Neurospora crassa OR74A: one gene and its partner. The protein of the gene in region 2 interacts with the protein of the main gene of each other region in a pairwise test. Links are inferred from orthologs where the notes say so. Each region holds a gene or a part of one and is shown on either strand. Other genes may lie near its edges.

Region 1 (6,042 bases), on a different chromosome or scaffold from region 2:
AGAAGGATGTGGGGCGTGTCCTACGCTAACAAACAAACCAGCATTGATGTGTACAGCTTGGTGTGACAGTAACTTGAGTAGCCGAGTACTGTGTTGCATCGAATCCGAATGTCTTCCTCGTTTGAGAGAGAACGTTGCGCGTACCGTACTCGGCTGGGTCGCCTTAACGCGGACACACGTGTGAAGGTGGTACAAAGTATGTGAAAGCTCATGAAGCGGACGAAATGAACCTGGAGATGCGAAAGGGCAATCAGGGACTTCCCCGGACCGTGGAAATGAGCGAGGTGGGAGTACCCGCCAGAGGCCGCCAGAGTGAGGAGTCGAGGATGAAGACTTGAGTTTTTGTGATGGGAGAAGGGAGGAAAACCGCCGAGTACGGAGCTCCTTCTGGGAAGCAAAGAGGAGTTCAGTAATCTCCAACCGATCCACTTTTCCTTGACCTTACACCCGCCAACCGTTTCCCCAAGGAGCGGGGTGCACGGGCCATCTCAATCAACAGCGGGACTTGTCATTGGGGGACCTTGGACAGACAGCTTGGACACCATCTCGCGGCGGATATAAGTTGAAGAGCAAAAAGGTCCCATGGGGACAGTGTAGTACCGTAGGCACTGATTAATATGAGTGAGCTGACGGCGGAAAAGGCACGAAAATGGTGAGGTGCTTCAGGCAATGGGAGCAACGAGGAGAGAAACTGGAGGCTATTCGGAAAGTGGATGTTTTGCCCATCGGCTCCGTAACAAGCTGGACCAGCTGGGCCTTGGTGCCGTCCAATTGTGGCTTTTGATCGGACACTAGACGCAGATTTTCTCAAGATTGACAACCGTCGACAATCATTGCTTTGCCTGCAAACGGTCAACCGCCAAGAGAGTAAAAAGCAGCTATGAGGACGCCGGTCTTTTTGCATCCTGGTATTGATCTGCCAAGTGTTTGTAGAGAGTCAGTTGAGACATGAATGTCGTCACGGTCATGTCTGACTGTCTGTTCTCGGGGGCGGAGGCGGCGTAGGGGGCAAGGTGAAAGTTCATGATACATAAAACCCGGCGCATTGAGTTGCGAGACACGGCCGAGAACCACTCGGCGCCCCTTTACCTGCCTCAAGTCATCTTCCATGCCTGTCGCCTCGTGGCAGAGCTGAAGAAGAAAGCCCCCAAGGGAACGGACCCCAACTCAATATGTAGAGGTAGCCACAGCTAGGTACCTAGCTATGACCTGACAAGGCGAGACCCATGGTGGACACTCTTGCGTGACCCAAGAATTAGATTCGGGTATCGATCAGGAAATCAGTAATATCGCCGGGTCACAGACTGGCACGGTACGTTCGTTGTAGTCGTCCTCGTCCTCGTCGTCGTCGTCGTCGGGGTCACTGTCATGGTTCACGCTAAGGATTTAATGGGCAGTGGAGTGAGATCGGCAGTGTTCAGAGCGCAACGAAGGGGACTGGTGGTTTTTATAACCGGTGGAGCTGACTCCCGAAGATGTGGCTCCTGCACTCCTCTTCTAGCGGCTCCTTCCAGACATTGGCGCCTTTCCCCTCATCCAACGAGGAGACGAGTAGCTGTTGCCAGAATACCGTATAGGGTCTAGCGGGGCTTACGCCAGGCGGAGCTCGCTGCCCCCACTATGTCTTGGCGACACCTCGGAATTACATCCAATAACAAAAGGCCTGCCTTCCACTTTGGCCTCCAAGTATTTTCCCCAACAGCGCTGGGATTTATGTAGACACAAGGTCCTATAATAGTGTAGTGCTGTTTCATTCAGGTAATTAGCCCTGTGCTGGTGACACTCACTTGTTTAAGCAAGCGTGCGAAGTGCTAGCACAATTGCGGCTTAGCATACCTACCTCTAGTGTACCTAGGCTTTCGTCAGGAGGGCTGCACTCACTGCCCTGCCCTGAGAAGTGAAGCTGAGTGGAGGAGAGTGGTGGATCTGCCGTTCAACTGCCGCACCACCCAACAATGCTCCTCATTGGCTCCCTTGCCTCTTGGCCTCTTCAAGCCTTCCGCAGTTCCAAACCAAATGAGCCTTTCCAGCCAATCCAGCGTTTGTCGGCCGTCGCTTTGCTCACTGCAGTCACCAGTCGGTGCTACAGTACGGCTGCCTTCCATCATTACCTAGTATTTGCTTTTCCTCCTTCGTCGGTTTTCACTGCCTCATCTCCCGATTTTCGACTTTTCTTCCTTCCAGCATCCGGGCACCTCGCTGCTTCGTCTGTATCCACGCAGGGACTTCCACACTGTAAGTACCTTGCCTAGAGGTATGTACTGCAGTCTGCAGCGAACTTGAAACCCATCGATCCAAACCCGACAGCACAAGTGTCAAGGCATCCAATCCTTCCACTTTGACTGGCGTCAACTCGCTTAAAGCGGCCTGCCCTAGCAATTCACCATCGTATTGACAAAGGCGCTGGATCTGCGCATTTTAGACCGGGTAGTCGGTGACAATAACACGAACCCGGACCACTTTGCTTTACTGGCCGCCGGGCAACCTGGAACACTCGGGGATCCAGTGAGGGCATAGTGTCCAGTACAGTGACCCCAGCACCCCCCCGTTTTTTGTCGCGACCTGGGCATCCCGACCTGGGCATCCCGACCTGGGCCCCCCCATCCATCTCCTCCGTCCCGCAAAACTTAACAAAAGGTATACTGGCTGCCTGCCTGCCTGCCTGCCAATTCACCTCTACCTCACCTTTTGGCCTTACCTACCTCCCGTCCGTCAATTATTCCCGACACCACTACAACCAACCAACCAACAACCCATCTCGCCTTTCAATCCATTGCGGCGTCCGTCGATTTTCTTTGTCGCCGACCCTTTCGAAACCGTTTACCGACGGCGCGCGTGCACGCCAACCAACTGACTGTCGGAATCGGCGACTGCCAGCCAAAGAAAGACTGCCAACCAGCGAGAGAGAGAGGCGACGAACGGCTAACGATCCATCCAAACGATTCGGACTGCATCCACTCAAGACGTCACAACCAAATCCAACCACCCGTGGTCCCTGTTGTGTCGACTTACTTGGAGAGCCTCCCACCGAACACACAAGTCGCCAAAGTCAACCTTACAAAACTGCCCATCAATTGCGTCAGTCGACCAAATCATCTTGAACCCGTATTTTTCTCGTCGCCCATTTCCGGGGATTCCAGCTACAAGGAAGGCGATTGACGGACGACGACGACGAACAAGTCTGCCCCTGGTCGACAAAAGTAAAGGCCGAGGAAGGGTTATTCGAGCGACGAAGCTGAACTGCACATCACACCAAACATTCGCCAGGAAAAAAAGTCGTCTTCATGGTTTTCTAGAACAGACCCGTGAACAGACGAGCATCTTCTTATCCGCCAGGTCCAAGTTCCCGGCCATCATCGGCTGCCTCATCTAGCCACCGCAGTCGAAAGGGATTGATGATCAAGATGGGCGCATGCATGAGCAAGAACGACGAGGAGACGGAGCAGAAGAAGAGGAGCCAGAAGATCGATCGCGACCTAGAGGAGGACTCCAAGAAGCTACGGAAAGAATGCAAGATTCTACTTTTGGGTGCGTACCCCTGTTGTCCTTCGCTAAAAACGTTTTTGCTAACATGCGTGCGCGTACAGGCTCCGGCGAGAGCGGTAAATCGACCATTGTGAAGCAGATGAAGATCATACATCTCAAGGGCTATTCAGATGAGGAGCTCACAAATTACCGACCAACCGTCTACAAGAATCTGTTGGAATGCGCAAAGGCGGTTGTGAATGCTATGCACCAGTTTGATATCCAGCCAGCAGATCCGTCGCTACGGCCCTACGTCGAGTTCTTGCAGGACTACAACATGGAGGGGTGTCCACCAGGACAGTCGATAGACCCCAAAGTCGGCACAGCTATCCAGGCACTATGGAATGATCCAGCAAAGGAGCAACTCATGGAGAGGCAAACAGAGTTCTATCTTATGGACTCTGCAGAATAGTGCGTGTCCGGTTTTTTTTCTTTTTTTTTCTTTTTTTTTTTTTTTTCTTCTTCTCCATAGGAGCTCACGTTCGCTGACTTGCACAGTTTCTTCACCGAGGTCATGAGGATTGTGGCCGAAGACTACCGACCAAATGAAATGGATGTACTTCGCGCCAGAACAAAGACGACGGGTATCTACGAGACAAGATTCAAGATGGGGCAGCTCAGTATCCAGTAAGTGTGCCTGATAGACATCTGTTACCCTCGTGCCCCTCAGCTCACACAATGATCTAGCATGTTTGATGTGGGCGGGCAACGTAGTGAACGCAAGAAGTGGATTCACTGCTTCGAAAACGTCACATCCATCATCTTCTGTGTTGCCCTGAGCGAGTACGACCAAGTATTGCTCGAGGAGAGCAGTCAGGTATGTCCACCAACCACGTCACCCCCTGGTACAGAGATGGTGCTAACATGTAACAGAACCGCATGATGGAGAGTCTGCTGCTCTTCGATTCGGTCGTCAATTCACGGTGGTTTATGAGAACGAGTATCATCCTGTTTCTCAACAAGGTCGACATCTTCAAGCAGAAACTGGGGCGGTCACCTCTAGGGAACTATTTCCCGGATTATTCCGGTGGAAACGACGTCAACAAGGCCGCCAAGTATCTATTGTGGCGGTTTAACCAGGTTAACAGGGCTCACCTTAACCTATATCCTCAGTATGTCCGCTCCATCTGTCCTGTCTTGGTGTATGCACCATCATGCTAACATTGTCACAGCTTGACACAAGCCACCGATACCTCCAACATCCGTCTCGTGTTTGCTGCCGTCAAGGAAACCATTCTCAATAACGCCCTTAAAGACTCCGGTATTCTATGATGAAAGACCCTTTTTTTTCGCTCACGCATCTTCTTCCTCTTTCTCGCAACAGCGTTCGGAATATTACCAAGTCCTCCCTTCTTGCATGACTCGGCGTTTTAAAGGGGTGGTAGCTGTCCGGCTAGCCGGCTAGCAAAAGCACGGCGGTGACAGCAACGGAGGCGGCGGTTGTTGTTTCTTATCATATCTTAGGGTTCACGCGCGTTTGGAACGTTGCCAACCTGAGGTTTGCTTTTGCTTCCCATTGGTTTCTCTTTTCCATTAGCATGCATTCATCTGAGCGACAGGCAGCGCCATCAACCATACCCTACCAAACGGAACTTATTGTAATCTTGTTTACGCACCATTTTGTTTGTTTTGCGCCGACGCAGAACAGCATAGGAGCATCTTTTTTTTTTCTTCTTCACGGCGGCGACTGGATCGACTGAGCAGGTCCTTGCTTTCTCTTTTTTTTTTTGTACATTCCTTTTCAACCGCATTTACAAGAAAACGGAAGGTGGAGAAGAGACATTGTCCTCAAAAGGTGTCACTGTACTCTCATGGGGAGATGCATGGCAAAACAAGAAAGATGTCTGAGCTAGTAGAAAGCCAGGGAGTTGAAAAGGGAACATTGTTCGCCTCCCAGTGAGGTTTTGGATCCTGCATTGAAATGCGGTCCGAGGTATCCCCAGGCCCATCCAAGAGATGGGAAGGTGGGCGCAAAGAAGGAGAAGAAGCCATGATGTTCACGATTTCGTTAACTGTCTCTGGTAGTAGTGGGAGGCAGATAGAGAGAGAGAGAGAGTAGGAGACAAAACTACTGTTTGTTCGTCACAAAGAGACTCACGCAGGATACCTATCTGATGAAAGTAAAGGTCTCTTGGAACAAACAAGGGTGCTCTTTTTTTACCTTATTAATGAGATGATTATCAAGTGGAATAGAGATGCTGCATCTGAGACATACGAAAAGCGCTGGCAGTTTGCTAGCAGTAGTATCTTGGCACGTCGTCCGTCGGTATAGAATAGGAACTCGACGGACGGACGGAGAGACAGACAGACAGTTTAAAGTGGTTGAAAGCAAATAAAGAAACACATACGGCTACCTATAGCCACTGGAAAACTCGGGATCCCGTTCGCTCTCCTAATCGCGGAAGGAAGATGTGATCGCCCCGGTGGAACCGGACACGTGGAGAAGCACGGCACGGCCCCTATAAGTTGAAGATGCTACCACTCATACACCTCGCTACTCCTTCTTTTACCGTCTAC
Region 2 (6,290 bases):
ATGCTGATGTTCACATAGCATGTGCTGGGAGGAGCAAATAAAACAACCTGTGAGCTGGGCAAGCTTCTCTCGTTTCTTATATCCTTGATCGTGCAACACCTTGGGCGTTTCTCCTCGTCTTGGGCACACATCAATGTTCTTCTCACAAAGCCCCCTTTTCCTTCACCAAACATTGTTGGTTTGTTCCGGGTTGCCATGTAAGTTGCTGGTTGGAAGGGATTTAGAAGGAAACCACGTCTGTTTGTAGAGGTTTCCATTTGTTTCAGGATAGAAACGTGCGAAGTCACAAATCAGATTCACTGTTCCGCGATTGCGGCACTACCAATTATGAAACTAGACGGAGCTACAACTCTTCAAACCATGCCCTGCGAACGTTAGCTGTCGCGAACTATCAGCCCCATGCAAACTTCAGGCGGTCCGACTTTGTTTCTTCCAAACTCGGTAGCTGTTCCGAGTCATTGCCAACTCGTTTTACGCCGAGTTGTATTTGAGGGCATACATTTGAGCTGCTCTTTATCCAAACGGCACCTAACTTGACATCCATGTAATCTCTCACAGCTTCATACTTACCCCTACCCCTCACAGCTGTCTTCCTCTAGAAGGAACAAAAAAAGCGAGGGACTAGCGGCCTACCCTGTGCTCAAGTAGACCCATTCCGACGAACGACGCGCTCTCTGTGGCGAGACCCAGGGAGGGAACCCATTCATCGGGTTTTATCCTCAGATCGAATCACGGCATGCCAGCTCAATCGAAAAGCTCCCCCTCTCTTTGTGGAGGGAAAATCAAGTTGTCCATGAACTAGGCGTAAAGCTCCAGATCGGCTCTATTTCTTGGCTTCATGTAAGCAACCTTCCAGTTCGTTGATGAGATGAATAACATGGAAACTCGACGAAAAATGGGATGGGGGCAGATTGTGGAATTGGAGATGCAGTCCCGCTAGGTATCTACCTATCTAACGACGAAAAGCCTACATACCCTAGCTACCTAGGTATGATATTGGAACTTTAGCGTGCTTTATCCCTCGCCGGGGCACGCTCTGTTGGTTACAGGTGTAGGTTAGGTGAGTGGAAAATAGTGTAGAGGTTAACGACACCCCGTCACTACACGTGTTCGGGTAGCTAGTAGCCCCGTATCTTGAACCGCGGGCTAATGTTAAGGCAAGGTCCCTTATTTTACGGGGTAGAGACACCGAGCGACGGCGGACGCTCGCACCTCCCACGTTAATGGGGTCCGGGGACCGACCCGACCATGAAGGTACCTCCCGTCTACACAAGGTACGTACCGTGCCTGGCGACCAATTCTCATATTCAGGCCCTCGACACATTGCATGGTTCCTTGCAGCTGTTGAGATGTTAGGTTGTGTTTACAGATGCAGTTCAGAAAACAGGCGCTTTCAGTCGTTCATACTGCGACATTCACAGATTTTACATAGTAGACTACTTGGGGGGTTCTGGGCGCCAAGTAAGACATCTCAAAACAGGAACATCGTGAGCTTCAAGTTCACAAAATACCTAGAGGTACCGACAGGGTTGCGGAGCCTGAGGGAGCGGGCATACCCCCACGCGGAGCGAATTGATGCTGGCTGGCCACCCCTGCAACTGAAGTTTGCCGTTCCGAATCGATGTACCCCTACCTCTACGTACGGCTCACCGATATGCGCACCATCCGTTCGGGTGCCCTGACATTGACACCAGACACCGACTTGACATGGATACCTACCTATAATTTCGGGGTGCTTTGGCGCACAGGAACCTCTCTGATGCAAACACTGTGGCCACGGATGGGAAGCCTAAAAAGCTTCTATGTTTTGTCACCGAGATAACTCGGGCGGTCCCGCTAGTGCACTGAGATGGCAGATGGGACTGTAGGTAATACAGGCCCGAACCGGCAGCAGGTTATGCCGTGCCTCATATGTCTGCTTCGGTCGCTGAAGTATGTAAATACGTCGGCTTCAGGTGATAACTCATCATAAAATACATGTTGGAAAAACGATTGGACGCTTCTTTGAAGAGGCCCTGGCAGTCAGGTTGCATGGACTCCAGCCGAGCACCAACTCGCAGTCCTGAAAGGCTTGGGGTCCTGGAACCCAACTTGAAGAAGTTGCAGTGGCCGACAACCAGAGGGACAGTGTAAACTATCCTGATGTTCACACTTGCTCGTCAGCCCCCGTTTCCTTCTCATGTCTGCAATGGGCAATATCACCGCCCGGGGACCTTTCGGACTCAGCCCGGCTTGTTTATCTTGGGCGGCTTACACACGGGCTCAGACTGTCACACGGCTGTAGCGACTCCCGCTCGGTCAAGAAATCCGAGTGCTCTGCTCTTTTTGAGGCCCTGTACAGATTTAGCTATGGGGCCAATCGCTGCCACAGTACACTATTGTCGGAGCCCCAAATGCCGACCACTAGGGTACCTAGAGGTAGTGATGAGGACTGGACACATAATTGTCGAGTTTCTGATGGTGGGCCATCTTTGGCGCACATCTCACCCACCACCCTGGTCCGCCGTCCGCCCACCCATGTTGGTACCCGGACGCCAGTGACCTACCGCCCTACCTCCACGCCCACTCACCTGCTGGTGAACATCGACATCTGATCCATTTCCCATTCGCTGCAAATACCTAACAAGAGACGATTAGAACCACTTTGCCGGCCCAGCAAAGAGGGCAAACGCGGACCTGGACTAGCCACCCACGAGATAGCAGCTGAACACCTCAACAACACACCAGCATAACGCCAGCAACGTCTTGGGTTGTCGGGATTCAACGTCCGCATTCTTCGTCACCACAAGACACGCCCGCCATCTTAGCATCGGACAAGGCCATGACCTGAAAACACTGGCCATCCCCATCCTCACGTGGAATGGCTGTGGTCTCCTGGTAGTTGGCATCTTTGTTCCGCTCGCCTCCCGCCGGTGACAATGACGAGAAATGACGGCGGCTCCCGCTACAGCTCCATCGACAGCGCACAATCCAGCATCACGGCGAAGCCATTTCCCTTGACGCCGACCAGCAGCCTGGGCAGCTCGATGACACGGCCGCTGTCCCCGTCGCTGCAAGCGGGCAGCAGTAGCAGCAATGGCGGCCACAATGTATCTCGGTCCGCCTCACAGGGTGCGCGCAGGCCTGCGCCGACGCGTTTGAAGACGGATGACGGCACCCAATTTGCGAGGTGAGTTGAAGCGAGCGACGCAGTCTGTTGTTTCCTGGGGGCTTCGTGGTTCTCGAGCGGTTCTGTGATACGGATACCTACCCAGTCTTGCTTGCACAGTCCTGTCCTGTCACCGCAACTATCCGGAAACCCCGTTCTTCTTTGCCGTCCCTTCTCTTACAAGTCAAGCCTGTTCTTGCCCTATTTTCCTGCAGTTCAAACTAACGGGTGCATGCGTCGGCCGCCCATCTACAGCAGGTCATCGAGAGATTTCGAGTCGTCGCAGTCCCAGTCGCAGCCGTCGCATACGCAGACGCGGTCGCACTCACTGTCACAGGCCACGCTTCAATCATGTTCGCAGCCGCAGTTGTCATTGAATTCCCAGCAGTCTCAATCCCCTTCTCAGTACCACTCGCAGCAGACGCCGACACAGCAACAACCACAGCAACAAGTATCGCCCACGGGGGGCTCGCGCCTGACCCAGTCGCCCACTACACCATCCAATGCGTCTATCCGCGAACACAGAATGAGCGAGCTGGGGGGATATCGTCGTGAAATGGCGGCCATGTTGGACACCACAGGCGGCGCATTGAGCCGAACGTCATCGCACAGTCAGCAGCAGCCGCAGCAGCCGCAGCAACAACAACAACAGCAGCAGCAGCAGCAGGGTCACGCTGCAGGATCAGTTTCGGGTACCTTCAGCAACCTCAGCCAGTACGCACCGTATCTGGGGGGAAACAACGGCGGCGGGATGTCCATGGGCAGCTTCCTCAATGACTCTACGGATAATCTGTCGGTAATATCGCAGCTATCGCCGGGCATCCGGCCGATGACGGCACGGCCTTCGCAGGCGTCGGCAGGCAGCATGGAGTTTCCGGATTCGGCGTACTACGACGATGAGCGGCGGCCGTCGATTGCTTCAATCACGACGACGGCGAGCAGCCAAGGGTCGCGGACTTCCAAGACCCGGGGCGGGCTACAGAAGCTCCAGCAGTTTTTTGGCGATCGGGACGATTGGCCTGGCCGAGATTCGTCGGAAATTAGCCTGCCCCAGCCGAGTCACTCGGGCCCCATGTCCACAGGGAAGGAACACCGATCACACTCTTACAGCCTACCAGGCAGCGGTCGCTCGCACCGGGACCGCAACTACTCCAATGCCACCGATCACCATCCCTCCACCTTTGGCTCCGTCTCGACTGTCGGCGGGCGAGATAGGGATGCCTCGCCCGTGCCCTCGAGGCCGCGAACCCCAGTGCCTGCGCCCGAAGTTGTGCCGTTTCTGTACCAAGAAGCCGACGTACGTATAGCCTCGCTCTCTCTTTCTCTCTTTCTCTATTTTTGTTTTCTTTTGTAATTTACTGTTTTCGATCTTCCCTTCCCCCTCTTCGCTCTCCCCCTCCCCCCCTCTTCCCTCCCCTCTCTCGTAAAGTGTTGTGGTGGTAGCTTGGTAAGAGATACAGGAGCAGTAGTATCACTAAAGGTACCCTACGCTACTTATACCTACTAGCTACTACCCTCGCTTCGACCCCATTTCCACACCTCGCCAAATCTTATCTCTGGCCTTCTCTTTCCTATCTCCACCCCGAGCTATCCCTTTTGGGAATCGCGAATTGGATGAGTAGCAGTGGGATCAACATTGGCAATGGCCGCCGGCCGTCTCATTCTTTGCTCCAAACGCAACCCTCGTTTGACGCTTCCTGCAACATGTCGGCGGTGAGATGATCCCTCCTGCCATCTTCCGTCTTCAAGTTCACAACAACCACATTAACAAGGAGCCCAAGGCAATGGCTGCGGAATCTTTTACACAACAATGACAACGACAGCCTGCCAGTGAGGTGTCGTTGTTGCCCTGCTCCAATCCCGAGAAACCCGCTCTTTGCTGCTATCCTCCAGTCTGGACTCCTCCTGCCTGCCGTGCCTACCAATCCGTATTATACAAATTGCACGAGTGATCTCTGTCGCCGTAACTGACCATTGCATGAAACACAGGACATCGCTCGCTATGGCGAAGCACCCGTTCGAACAAGTCTCACTGGCCCCGATCGCGATCGTTACATCGACAGCTCCCAGAACCCACCAAAGACCTCGTCTTCCGCCCGGTCAGGTCACTCCATCGTGCACCTACCGGGACATCATAAACACAACAAGAGTAACGAGGATCCAAGGGCTTTGAAGCCATCGCTTAGCAGGGAGGATTCGGCAGCCAGTTTCGCTAGGGATTTTCGCAACGGTTCCAGCTCTATGATGGGCACCCGATCTCGCGCACAGAGTCCAGCGCCCAGTTGGACAGGGACGTCGCGGGGACTCAAAGCCAACAGTATTTCCGACGGAACATCATCTCCAGCTCCATCGCACAAAAAGGGCATATTGGGTCGCTTCCGCCGGCACAACAAAGACAAGGAAGATGGCTCCAGCCTTCGGAGTGGCTCAAACCACACTCTTGTACACCGCCCGTCGAGACAAGACCTTACCCGCGCCGCCGAATCCACCTACCCAGCATCCGTCTACGTTTCGGACCCTAGCGAGCAGCGAGAGGTCCCTGTCCGCCCTGGCTATGTGCGCCAGACGACGGCGCCGGGGTTCACCACGAAACTCTTTACCTCTAAGAAATCGAGCTCGGCCAAACAGCCCCAAGATGACATGGACGAGGACATTGGGCCCACTGACATGCACATGGGAGGTGGAACCGTCTATCATCTCGATACGAACCTTAATGATATGGAGGGAATTTTGACCAAGCCTCAACCCATGACCCCCTTGGACAACAGCATATCAATGCGACGCGAATCAGAAAAGATGATTGTCCCGATCACGACAGATCCGGAGGGCGCATGGGCTGCCCCGGACAGTTGGGCAGTGCGCGACAACAAAAAGTCTCTCGCCCCTCAGGTAAATGAAGACTTGTGCTCACGTCAACCTAGCGAGGAAAAGGAGAAGAAAAGCAATTATTACATTCGTGTCTTTAGGTCAGATAGCACCTGGACTACGCTCACCCTGCCCTTGACTGCGACAGCTGAGGATGTTATCATGGGTGTGGCGAAAAAGACTTATCTCCCTCCGGGTGCTCAGGACAGCTACTCTCTCCTTATCAAGAAGCACGATTTGTTCAGGGTCTTGAATAGCGCCGAACAACCCTTGAGAA

Evidence for each region. The genes of interacting proteins can lie anywhere in the genome.
Region 1: the proteins of cr-1 (region 2) and gna-3 interact in binary tests that used the Saccharomyces cerevisiae proteins (3 or more experiments, as listed by UniProt). The link is inferred for Neurospora crassa OR74A from reciprocal best matches to the Saccharomyces cerevisiae genes CYR1 and GPA2.

The regions. Positions count from the first base shown.
Region 1 is NC_026504.1:5,750,966-5,757,007, reverse strand, and holds gna-3 (G-protein alpha subunit), read left to right. Parts: upstream 1-2,278; 5' UTR 2,279-3,395; coding exon 3,396-3,528; intron 3,529-3,587; coding exon 3,588-3,936; intron 3,937-4,023; coding exon 4,024-4,152; intron 4,153-4,212; coding exon 4,213-4,342; intron 4,343-4,398; coding exon 4,399-4,637; intron 4,638-4,697; coding exon 4,698-4,797; 3' UTR 4,798-5,755; downstream 5,756-6,042. UniProt on the Saccharomyces cerevisiae protein: Alpha subunit of the heterotrimeric guanine nucleotide-binding protein (G protein) involved in glucose-induced cAMP signaling.
Region 2 is NC_026501.1:5,570,011-5,576,300, reverse strand, and holds the start of cr-1 (adenylate cyclase), read left to right. Parts: upstream 1-2,443; 5' UTR 2,444-2,918; coding exon 2,919-3,169; intron 3,170-3,403; coding exon 3,404-4,445; intron 4,446-4,811; exon of another isoform or gene 4,812-4,852; coding exon of another isoform or gene 4,853-4,861; intron 4,862-5,137; coding exon 5,138-6,290.